Nothobranchius furzeri: one gene and its partners. The main gene of each other region encodes a partner of the protein of the gene in region 3 in a complex. Links are inferred from orthologs where the notes say so. Each region holds a gene or a part of one and is shown on either strand. Other genes may lie near its edges.

What was found.
Region 1: ruvbl2 (region 3) and pfdn6 share a complex: the UniProt entries of both Homo sapiens proteins name them as parts of the PAQosome complex. The link is inferred for Nothobranchius furzeri from reciprocal best matches to the Homo sapiens genes RUVBL2 and PFDN6.
Region 2: ruvbl2 (region 3) and acidic leucine-rich nuclear phosphoprotein 32 family member E share a complex: the UniProt entries of both Homo sapiens proteins name them as parts of the SWR1-like complex. The link is inferred for Nothobranchius furzeri from reciprocal best matches to the Homo sapiens genes RUVBL2 and ANP32E.

The regions. Positions count from the first base shown.
Region 1 is NC_091741.1:28,885,020-28,888,763, reverse strand, and holds the start of pfdn6 (prefoldin subunit 6), read left to right. Parts: upstream 1-837; 5' UTR 838-959; coding exon 960-1,023; intron 1,024-1,145; coding exon 1,146-1,216; intron 1,217-1,294; coding exon 1,295-1,419; intron 1,420-3,744. Other genes in the region: mmgt1 (ER membrane protein complex subunit 5), read right to left, coding at 2-54, 315-393. UniProt on the Homo sapiens protein: Binds specifically to cytosolic chaperonin (c-CPN) and transfers target proteins to it. Binds to nascent polypeptide chain and promotes folding in an environment in which there are many competing pathways for nonnative proteins.
Region 2 is NC_091745.1:59,038,660-59,042,415, reverse strand, and holds the start of acidic leucine-rich nuclear phosphoprotein 32 family member E, read right to left. Parts: upstream 2,792-3,756; 5' UTR 2,641-2,791; coding exon 2,587-2,640; intron 1-2,586. UniProt on the Homo sapiens protein: Histone chaperone that specifically mediates the genome-wide removal of histone H2A.Z/H2AZ1 from the nucleosome: removes H2A.Z/H2AZ1 from its normal sites of deposition, especially from enhancer and insulator regions.
Region 3 is NC_091750.1:65,682,206-65,685,226, reverse strand, and holds the end of ruvbl2 (ruvB-like 2), read right to left. Parts: intron 1,612-3,021; coding exon 1,492-1,611; intron 1,405-1,491; coding exon 1,275-1,404; intron 1,184-1,274; coding exon 1,069-1,183; intron 961-1,068; coding exon 935-960; 3' UTR 594-934; downstream 1-593. UniProt on the Homo sapiens protein: Possesses single-stranded DNA-stimulated ATPase and ATP-dependent DNA helicase (5' to 3') activity; hexamerization is thought to be critical for ATP hydrolysis and adjacent subunits in the ring-like structure contribute to the ATPase activity.

The sequences.
Region 1 (3,744 bases), on a different chromosome or scaffold from region 3:
CGTCGATAGGCAGCGTTTCGTGCTCCTTCTCTGTGAGCCGCATGTATGACCGATCTGATGGGAGAGTTGGGATTTAATCAGAGTAATATCGACAATAACTCACAGAATACTCTTAATCCAAACATTAAACGACGGCAGTCACACAGAAGCGAGCAGGTACAGATTAAAGTCTTCCTCCGTTGGAGGCTCTAGCGGAGCTAGCTAAGCTGCTGTGGCCACAGGCCCCGCGGTCCTTCACTCGGTGGAGACTCAGTCCAACCAGAACTAACCAACACAGGAAAACATCGGTCTAACATCTTGGCGCTGAAACTCACGCTGTGCTGCCGAGAACGCTGCGTGGGCCAAGGCAAAGAGTCCGATGCCGACAACACCTTTCCAAAACGAAGAAGCCATCTCGAAGCAGGGCTCAGAGGGACTGTGGGCACCGTCGTAAAACAGTCGTAAACTGACGCAACTGTCACTGCGTCAAAACCAAAACCTACCTGCCAAATGATTATTTATGTTCGTTAAATATTATTATTCGCAGCCTGATATCTGTAAAATCATTTTATTTATGTGTTTTTGCCCTCTATTTAGATTTTTGTGAGCTGAAAATACCCAAAGAAAGCTGTCAGACGTCAAATGGTGCATTCGAATCACATCCTAAATTACATGTTTCTAACCAAACTCATTGATCTCCAACCAATATATTTGATCGAAAATTGAAGATTAGATGTATAACTAGAAAGAGCTTTTCATGGTTTAGTGAGCGTTTGCGTCAAAATAAGTCCAGATACACATAATTTTATTCTGACCTCGATTTAAAACCAGAATATCCGAGTGTGCCCTGAATCTTCCACTACATCCGGTCTCTGCGTAGCTTCTTCCTGTTAGCTAGCGCTGTTCTCTCATGTTGCCTTGCTAAGCGCTCTGTTACAATAATTAAACTTTTACAGTTGTGTAAGATAAAATAAGCAAACATGGCAGACGCCATTCAGAAGAAATTAAAAGCGGAAGTAGAAAAGTATGCACAAATGCAGAAAGGTGGGTTTTCTTTATGTGCTATCACAAGTTTTAGAGGGCATGTAGCCGCTATGTGTGCATGAAGTAACGTTAGCTTTTTGGCCATAAGAATAGTTTTTTAACCCACCTGCGTGTTTTTTCAGATGTTAGCAAGAACATGTCAGCCAGACAGAAACTGGAGACGCAGCTGACAGAGAACAACATTGTTAAAGAGGTAACTTCAGTCCTGTATGGCTGTATATCACAACGGTTTGTGTGTAATAATCCAGACATGACTCGCCTGTGTTTCCAGGAGCTGGATCTGCTCGACAGCTCAAACACCATCTATAAACTTATCGGTCCTGTTTTAGTGAAACAAGATCTGGATGAGGCCAAAGCCACCGTGGCTAAAAGACTGGAGTACATCAACGGGGAAGTGTAAGTCAAGCTGCTGCTTTACTGTTCTACAGCTCACCTGCACACCAATGTCTGTGTCACAGTGGTGAAAGATGGTTAGATTTGATCTTGTTTTTACAATTTCAGGTGGACGAAGCCGGTTAAACCCTGATTTTACTCAGACTCAGGCAGGAATCTTAATGGAAACAAACATAAAATGTAATTCTGAGCAATGCCAGACGCAGAGATGAGATCATCAAATTAATGCGAATATTAAAAAAACAGTTGGCCCTTATCATTTATTGCCATTGACAGCTAAAGACGTCATTTTAAATCCAGTGGCTCGCTGCAATTGACAACTAAAGCTGTCAGTTGCATTGTTTTAACGGGGTGGGCGTGGGATCGAGCCCCCGCACCATGAGAGTAAACATGACGTCTCTAAAGCTGATCTTAGTCCGTGTGTCACACGTCACCTGATCAGGAAGGAGAAAATCCATGAATTGGGATATTGTTTTGGGACGCTGCTGTGAAAAAAGCGAGGCGCTAACCAGAAAAGCGTCTGCAGCTCACACTTGGACAACAGATTGTGAAAGAATGGTTAACGCTAGAAACACGGTGATTCTTCCTGATGTAAAAAGTGAGTCTACTCTTTCTTTCGATAGTTTTGGCGTTTGCATGATCATAGAGCACAACGTTCTGACTCTTCAAAATCAGTAAAAACGCTCAAAAACGCTGGCAGCCAGGGGATTTCTGATCAGAAAACAGCGCAGTGAGTGAGTTAAACAGGATCCACCATAGTTCCTTATTTTCTTGTGGGTTGAAGCTGCTGACAGTCGCTTTTAAAACCATTTATTTAACCAGGAAGTCTCATTTTTAGTTGAACATGAAGGGACTTTCTTAAATTAGCGTGTTTGACATAACCGAATCCTTCACTAAGCGATTCCGGGTTCTAGCATGGCGGTGGTTAGGATGATACGTTTCACCTCTTGAGTGTGCACTGACGGAAGCATATTTTTTGCGTGTCACTTTTCCACTCAAAACGCAGCACTGAAGAGATGAAGTTGGAGAGGAACGGAAAACTTCATCCACAAAGACCAGCAGTTTGTTTTACTGGAGAATTAGACTGGAAAACCGGCATTCCCAGTTAGAACCAGAGAGGAATGTTTCAGTAAATCTGAGTAAATACCTGCTGCTGGAATTAAATGAATCAAATACAAAATCAGAAAATACAAAAAAAAACAATCGAATCCAGAATTATAATAGTTTTACTAATTTTGCTTGTTATTCTCATCATTACATATTTCCAGAGATTGTGAGTTAATTAAAATTAAAAAACACAAATTCCATATTTCTGACTGTGAGGATTATGTATTTTGATACTCGACACCCAATGTGTCACATATTAAAATATGCTGACTAATCCCAGCTGTCAGCCGAACGAAGGATTAATTGTATTGGACACAGAGACAATCGCATATTTAAACCTGGAAACAAACAAACAAAAAAATTTGAAAAATACAAAAGCAATGAGACAAATGAAAAACCTGCTAAACTTTGGAGAAGCCATGGCGCTCACACCGCCTTCACACTGGCTCAGCAGGAGCAGGAACACCTCCCGTTCAGGTTCAGTTATCCTGGTTATTCCTCCTCTCCTCCTAATCCTCAACCTCCATCTTTGAGAGTGGAGCTTGAAAAATCAGAAAAATGTGACGGCTGGATCGAATCAACAACAAAAATAATTTTCCTACAAGGCATTCTGTTTCGGACACACAATCATTTATGTTGAAACGTACCTTAAAGGGATACGATGTAAAGTTTTCATATTTTTAATCATTTTCTTGAGTAAGTATGTGCTAGAATGACCCTTAAAGGAGTCATCACCCGTTACTACCGTGGATATCTACATCACATTATATTATTTAGGCCATGAAAGTCATTTGTATTGGAAAATTAATTAAAAAAGTGCTTTTCTGACCCTTTTTTGTAAAGGACAGGTTTTCTCACAAGAGCACACGCGATATTTCGGCTGTGCTGGGCGTGTCATTTGGAACCGTAGGGTGTCCATGAAAGATCCCGCCTTTCTCGCCTCTGATTGGCTAGAAGGACTCAACTACGATTGGCTATTTTATTTAGCAGCAAACTGGCTTCCCGGCCAGTGAAAATTCATTAGGAAGACATTATATGGATTTTTTTCAAGTGGAAAGGTGAAAACTTCAGGTGATGACTCCTTCAGCAGGGTTACAGAAATGTAACTCAGACCCCCGCAGCCCTCTGTGGCCAGAATATCACGCTTGCAACTTCAGAGTGCTGGACTTAGAAAAAATGGAGCTGACATGCCTGCTTGCAGCACATTTCCTGCATGTTTTA
Region 2 (3,756 bases), on a different chromosome or scaffold from region 3:
TAAAAACACCGCAAACGTGACAGACGTAGTGACAATGTAAAAAAAAAAAAAAAAAAAAAAAAAGCCGTAAAAAGGGGCAGATGCCGATGCGTTATGTATGGAAGTGTGCCACATAATCATAAAAAAGTAAAGCATAAAATTTAAAAAGAGATTTATGTATTTATACATAAATAAAAACTTTCCAAATATAATGAAAATTTCGAAATAACGTAAAAACACGAAGGAACATCTGTTGGTCAGGCTGAAAAGTTTGGAAACCACTGTTCTAAGTGATAAGTGAATATCGTTGTTTAAATATATTTTATGTGCAGTTTTTTAGGGTTTTTATGTTTTCTGTAAAGATTGGTATGCTGAAAATCATTTAATGTTTTGCATAAAGCATGAGGTTTTGGTTAGTAATCATAGAAGAATAACAAATGACAGAATTAAATAGTGGGGCGCCTCTGTCAGTGCGCCCCAGGGAAGCTGTGGCTACATCGTAGCTCATCACCATCAGTGTGTGAATGGATGAATGATACACTGTAGTGTAAAGCGCTTTGGAGTCCTTACTCTGAGAGGCGCTATACAAGTGCGGATCATTTATTATTTATAGTGTTGATCAGGCAGAGCTTCGTTGCCAGCGTTCCATTGCATAATGGCTTCAAACACGTATATAAAAGTGTTAGTTTTTACGTAAACCATTGGATGAAATTACACAAACTGACTGAGCTCTAGTTAAGGCTCTTGCAATAGTTTGTGTATGTGTGTGTGTGTGGGGGAGGGTACATTGGATCTTTGTCCCCCCCAGTTTGAAAATCCTATCTGCGCCCGTGGTCTGGGGTGGCATGTCAGCTGCTGGTGTTGGTCCACTGTGTTTTATCAAGGGCAGGGTCAGTGCAGCTAGCCATCAGGAGATTTTGGAGCACTGCATGCTTCCATCTGCTGAAAAACTTTATGGAGATGAAGATTTCATTTTTCAGCACGACCCGACCTGGCATCTGCTCACAGTGCCAAAACCACAGGTAAATGGTTTACTGACCATGGTATTACTGTGCTCAATTGGCCTGCCAACTCTCCTGACCTGAACCCCGTAGAGAATCTGTGGGATATTGTGAAGAGAAAGTTGAGACATAAGACCCAACACTCTGGATGAGCTTAAGGCCGCTATAGAAGCATCCTGGGCCTCCATAACACCTCAGCAGTGCCACAGGCTGATAGCCTCCATGCCACGCCGCATTGAAGCAGTCATTTCTGCAAAAGGATTCCTGACCAAGTATTGAGTGCATAACTGAACATAATTATTTGAAGGTTGACTTTTTTGTATTAAAACACTTATTGGTCGGATGAAACATGTTAATTTTTTGAGATGGGAATTTTAGGTTTTCATAAGCTGTATGCCAAAATAATCGATATTAGAAACAATAAAAGGAATGAACTACTTCAGTTGTGTGTAATGAATCTAATATATATGAAAGTCTAATGTTTATCAGTACATTACAAAAAATAATGAACTTTATTACAATATGCCAATTTTTTTGAAGGACCTGTAATGCTGCAATCATGCCTGCAGTTAAATGCGTTTTATTTTATAGGCTTATATTGTTAAAAAGAAATGGTATCCGAGTGCCATCTACTGGTGGTGTTGAGTACTGCGCTTTGAGGTCACAGAGGAGATGATTGAGATACTGAAAACTCAAGCTAGAAAACAAACCAAGAACAAAATAATGTGTGAAGGACAAAAATGTACAATGTGGACTGCATTTGCTGTTGAATGTTTGGTAGAAATGCGTAAACAGTGGGTTTTCGTGTTTGAGTAACAGTCTAAGAGAGTAAGTTTGATAATTGCTCACGAGAAGCAGCTGTTCAGGAGAAGGAAAACGAATAAGTTTTGAACAGTAGTCACTTACCAACTGTTGATTTGAATACTTATAAAAGGGCCTAGGAACGATGATCTTTAGTTTTTTGTTGTTTTTTTTTTTACACAGAACCTCGCCAAAGACCACCATCCGGATACAACTACAGAGACTCACCCCGTGGAGTCCCAACCCTCTGTAGCGATGTGGGCGGGAAAACCACCAGGGAATTTAAAAAGTAGGACGAACACGCATAAGCGATGCGAAGGTTTGCAAAGAATGAAACGTAAAAGTTGGCTTCTATAACACATGGTCTGGTTCTAAACTCCTTAAAGGATGAACAACAAACTTAGAGGATTAAATTGCAGCTGGCTCTGACCTAAAACTCAACAAAATTACGCTCACATTATGTAAAACACCGAGATCGGGAGCTGTTAAGCGGCTCGGGTCGGTCCAGGAGCACCAGACCATCACCACGTTAGCTGCTGCTAACTGTTAGCTGTTGAGTCCGGCTCACGCGAGGCTCTCCCGCAACCAGAACGAGAAGTCACAGCGCGAGAAACTAAACGCGGAGGAGTCCACCGGGTCTAGAGCCTCTCAGAATAGTGCAGCGCAGCGGAGCTACATGTTCTGTTTAGCCCGCAGAAAGGCTCTTAACGCAGGTTTCCATGGTATAAAACCAGCATCGTGTCTGTCGGACTCCGCATCCTTCTCCTTGAACTAAATACCAGTATACTTTGTTTTAATTACAAACCTCGGCGGGACTTCTGCTCTTCAGCGCCAGACTGACCCTCTTCTTCATCTCCATGATGAAGCTTAAAGAAAACAAAATAAAAGGGTAACAAAGAAAGACAAACTAAAATCCAGGTAGCGAGGGCCTCCTCCGACGTACACCAGGCAAATACTAAACCACCATGTTAACTACTGCCCAGCCTCCATCTAGACCACGCCCCCTCTGTGATTCACGATAAAACAACGGGGACAGAAACCCACTAAGCCCCTCCCCTCTATCATAACACACATAACCCTAGTCTGTCATTGGTTAAAACAAAAACGGGTTGACTAACGACATAGCGACAACTGGTTTATTGGTTTATTCCGCCCTGCCGCCAAACAGGCGCAAAGTCCTTCTCGTTTATCGGTGTATGGCAATCCGTTTTAACATTTAACATGCAGACTGGATTTTGAATCCAAGGGAACTTTAATTGTTTAACAATCACAAATAAACTAAGAGCTGGCAGATGATCTACAGGAGTTTATGTAAAAGCCAGCCTAAACTGATCAGTCTTCAATACGCACGTGCACGCACACACACACACACACACAACACCACCTTGTTTCTGAATTTACAATAAAAATGAGAAACAAAAACAATATGTGGCATTTTATCGTATCTATCTATCTATCTATCTATCTATCTATCTATCTATCTATCTATCTATCTATCTATCTATCTATGAACATGAGAAAACTAGAAAAGTACAAGAGCCTCAAAATAGAACTTGAGAAAGCCTAGAGAGTAAAGACATCGGTGGTGCCCGTGGTCATTGGGGCAGTAGCCCCCAAACTGGAGGAGTGGCTAAAGAAAATCCCAGGGAAAAAAAATCAGACATCTCAGTCCAAAAAACTACAGTAGGAACAGCTAAGATACTGTGCAGGACCCTCAAGCTCCTAGGTCTCTGATAGGAACCGAAGCTTGGAGGGATGAGACTACCTGCGGAGGATGAGATGGGGATTAAAAATATATATATATTATATATAAATATGTATATATGTTTGAATGTGTAAAATATGTGATGCTACATTCAAATTGTTTATTGGTGCATTAATTGTCTGATGCATGACAGTTCATCTAGTGTTAATCAAACTGTAAAACGGACAGCTTAAGCTTAGTTAATGGGCGTAGATTTGGCATGGACGGAGG
Region 3 (3,021 bases):
GTATGATGGGGTGTTCTGATGTCCATAATAGATATTGGTCTGTGTGTGTTGGTTTCCTGTATGTGTTTATGTTTAGGGTCCCGTCGGCCTGCCTAGTCATTTTCATGTCCATAAATGCTATACTGCCATCTGTTTCTGACTCATTTGTGAACTCTGCAAACCCCAGATGTTTTGCAGTCGGCAAACTGTCAGCAAGGTAAAGAGAAACCTGTCCTGTGTTTTAAAAAAGAACCAAAAATGGAATTAGAAGCCAAACACAGAATAACGTACCAAAGATGGTTAAAGTCTCTTTTTAAAACTGATCTTAGCACTCCCCCTTGTGGTAAGAATGAGTACTGTAGCGTTTACACTGCACAGCTGGCTGAATTTAAGATTATCTTTTTTTAATGAGAAATTATTTAAATTGTGTGAAATGGGAAGTTTGGAGTAACTGCGGAGTGTTTTTTTCAGTAAGTGATAAATTATTTCTTCCCTTGTTTATTTTAGTCACAATTTTTCCAGATGAGCTAATTCTAATATCAAAGATAACCCGATTCTAATCTAATCTAGAAACTAAGAATCTGACTCTGTCTGAATACAAAAACACAAAAATCTGTAGTACAAAAGCCAGTTTATTTAGATCTAAAGAAATAAATCACATAAAGAGAAGTAAAAAACAAAACTACAAGGGAATGAATGTTCCTACCACATGACAACACGGAAAAGCCTTAGGATAATGCAGATTGATCCATTTTAAATCCAATTTCAGCACTGAGTTTTAAATTTTCTTTTGGAAAGAGAAATAATTAAGAATTTACTGCATTTTTTTTCTTTCTTTGCTGTAAATTGAAGTTAAAATCTAATTTATTGTCCAACTCTGAACTGACTTTAAATCTGGGTACTAAGAACAAACAAAAACAAGGCTGACGGTTATTATACAAGGCAGTCCTCTTGATTATGAGGTATCCATGGATGCTGTTTCTGAAACATGAAAAGAAACAGATTTAGCTTATTCACCGCTTTCATTCCAGATGTTAAAATCCTGGACAGAAAGTGATATTTCTATACATCCAGAGGAGGAAAACTCACGTGTTTCATTAAAGAGGAAGGAATCCTGATACTCCTTCATGTACTGGGAGGATCTGGCCTCATCCAGGAACAGAGAGTAAACCCGTTTAATGTCCTCCACTTGAACTTCTGTCCCCTTTAGCAGCAACAAAAAGACACGTGACACACACACACACACACACACGATTTGAGATCTGATGCTGATCCGACGCTTCCTCTGAGCTTACCTTACGTTTACGGCACACCAGTCCTGCAGTGCTGATCAGCTGGATGGCGTAGCGCAGCGACGTCTCCATGCCGATGCGAGTGAGGACCATGTGAGCCTCCTCACTCAGCTCAACATCCTCCTCCTCACACCTTACAAAGCACAAAAGTGTTTACTTCCCTAATTTGGATTTGGGAAGACAGGAACACGGTTCGTGGACAGGGAATACCGATTCCTACCGGATCTTAAGAATCTGCTTCAGCTCTCTCTCAGTGTAAGGAGAGGTGGCGATGATGAGCAGGCGGTCCAGCAGGTCGATGGGGATTCCATGAGGGCTCTGATAATTGGTGCCACGGATTCTATGAAGAAGATCATGTTCAATGTTATACAACAGAAAATTATAAGTACTTTCTTTCATTTTTCACAGATTTGAAAAAACAAATACAGCATTTTTATTTGTCAAATTAAAACAAGTGATCACAGTAAAGAAAACAATCTTTACTGACACTAGAGAGACATTTTTAAGAGTCAAATAAGTTTAATCACAAAGAGATATAATAAATAAGGTTGCAAGCATGCTTTATAAAACTGAGCCCAGATTAAAAGGAGGTAGTTTATGGAGGCTCAATCCCGCCACTATCTCATAATAGGGGTTGTATGAACTAGTCGAATAGTCGACTTCACGGCTCTGTAGTGACTTTTATGCCTGTCATCGACTAGTCGCTGTCAAGTGATAATGACTGACAAGATGCAGTCCTCGGAAAAGACAGCAGGTGATCCCCTGCGCGTCGGGAGGCAACGCGCTGTGCCAGAGCGTCGGTACTGACACCGGCGGTAAAACGGACATTTAACCAAATTGTGATGTTTACCCTCTTGCAATTTAACCTTCCCCTCACCCCCATCCTAACCTTAACCAGCTTGTGCATGCAAAGCTCTGATTGTTGATGCGCTCCAGACATCTGCGTCCTGAGCACGGCCACAGTAACATTATCAAATCAGGTGTCGCCACCTCAAAAACTAATTAAACACGCAATCGTTCATGTCGGCTCATTTCCTTTTATGTTTTTTGTCTTTTATTTGTGCCTGATGCGTTTCGCTGCTGCGGAGCGGGGCGCATCACCTGTTTTGTCCTCCGGTGACACACCTAACTGACGTGGCCGGCGAGCACTCCGCTGTTTTTGCGGTCGGTAGATCTTTTAGAACTGCAGTTCAAAGGTAACTCATAAGGTGAATATATATGAACCCAGGTAGCAGTTTTTCTTTAGGATTGAGAGGAGATGCAGGAAGATAATAAACAGACAGGACAGAAAAATAGTCAAATAAAAACAAGTTAGTTTTTGTACCTGGTGGTTGCAACAAACAGACACCATTGAAGGTAATCAGAAGTGAGGAACAGAAAATGAAATAATTATTTTAATGTTTAGAGCAGCAGGAACTCCGAGAGACTGCAGGCACATCAGTGAGTTTGCGGCCGCTGCGCAGGGGGGGGGGGGCTGAAGCAGAAACTACCGTTGTTAAAAGAAATGTCTTTAACTTAGAAAATGTGGGCGCAATTTTAATTGTCAAAAACTCCAGCGAACCTACCGACCCCCCCCCCCGCCGCTTCAGGTATATGACGTCATCAACGACTAGTCGAAGTCGACTCGATTTTCATTACTTGACTGTCGACTTTAAAAAAAATAAAGTCATGCAACCCCTATCTCATAATTACAACTTTACCATCTCATAATAAGATAGGGAAGTTAGAAGAAAAAAAAATTATAATTTTA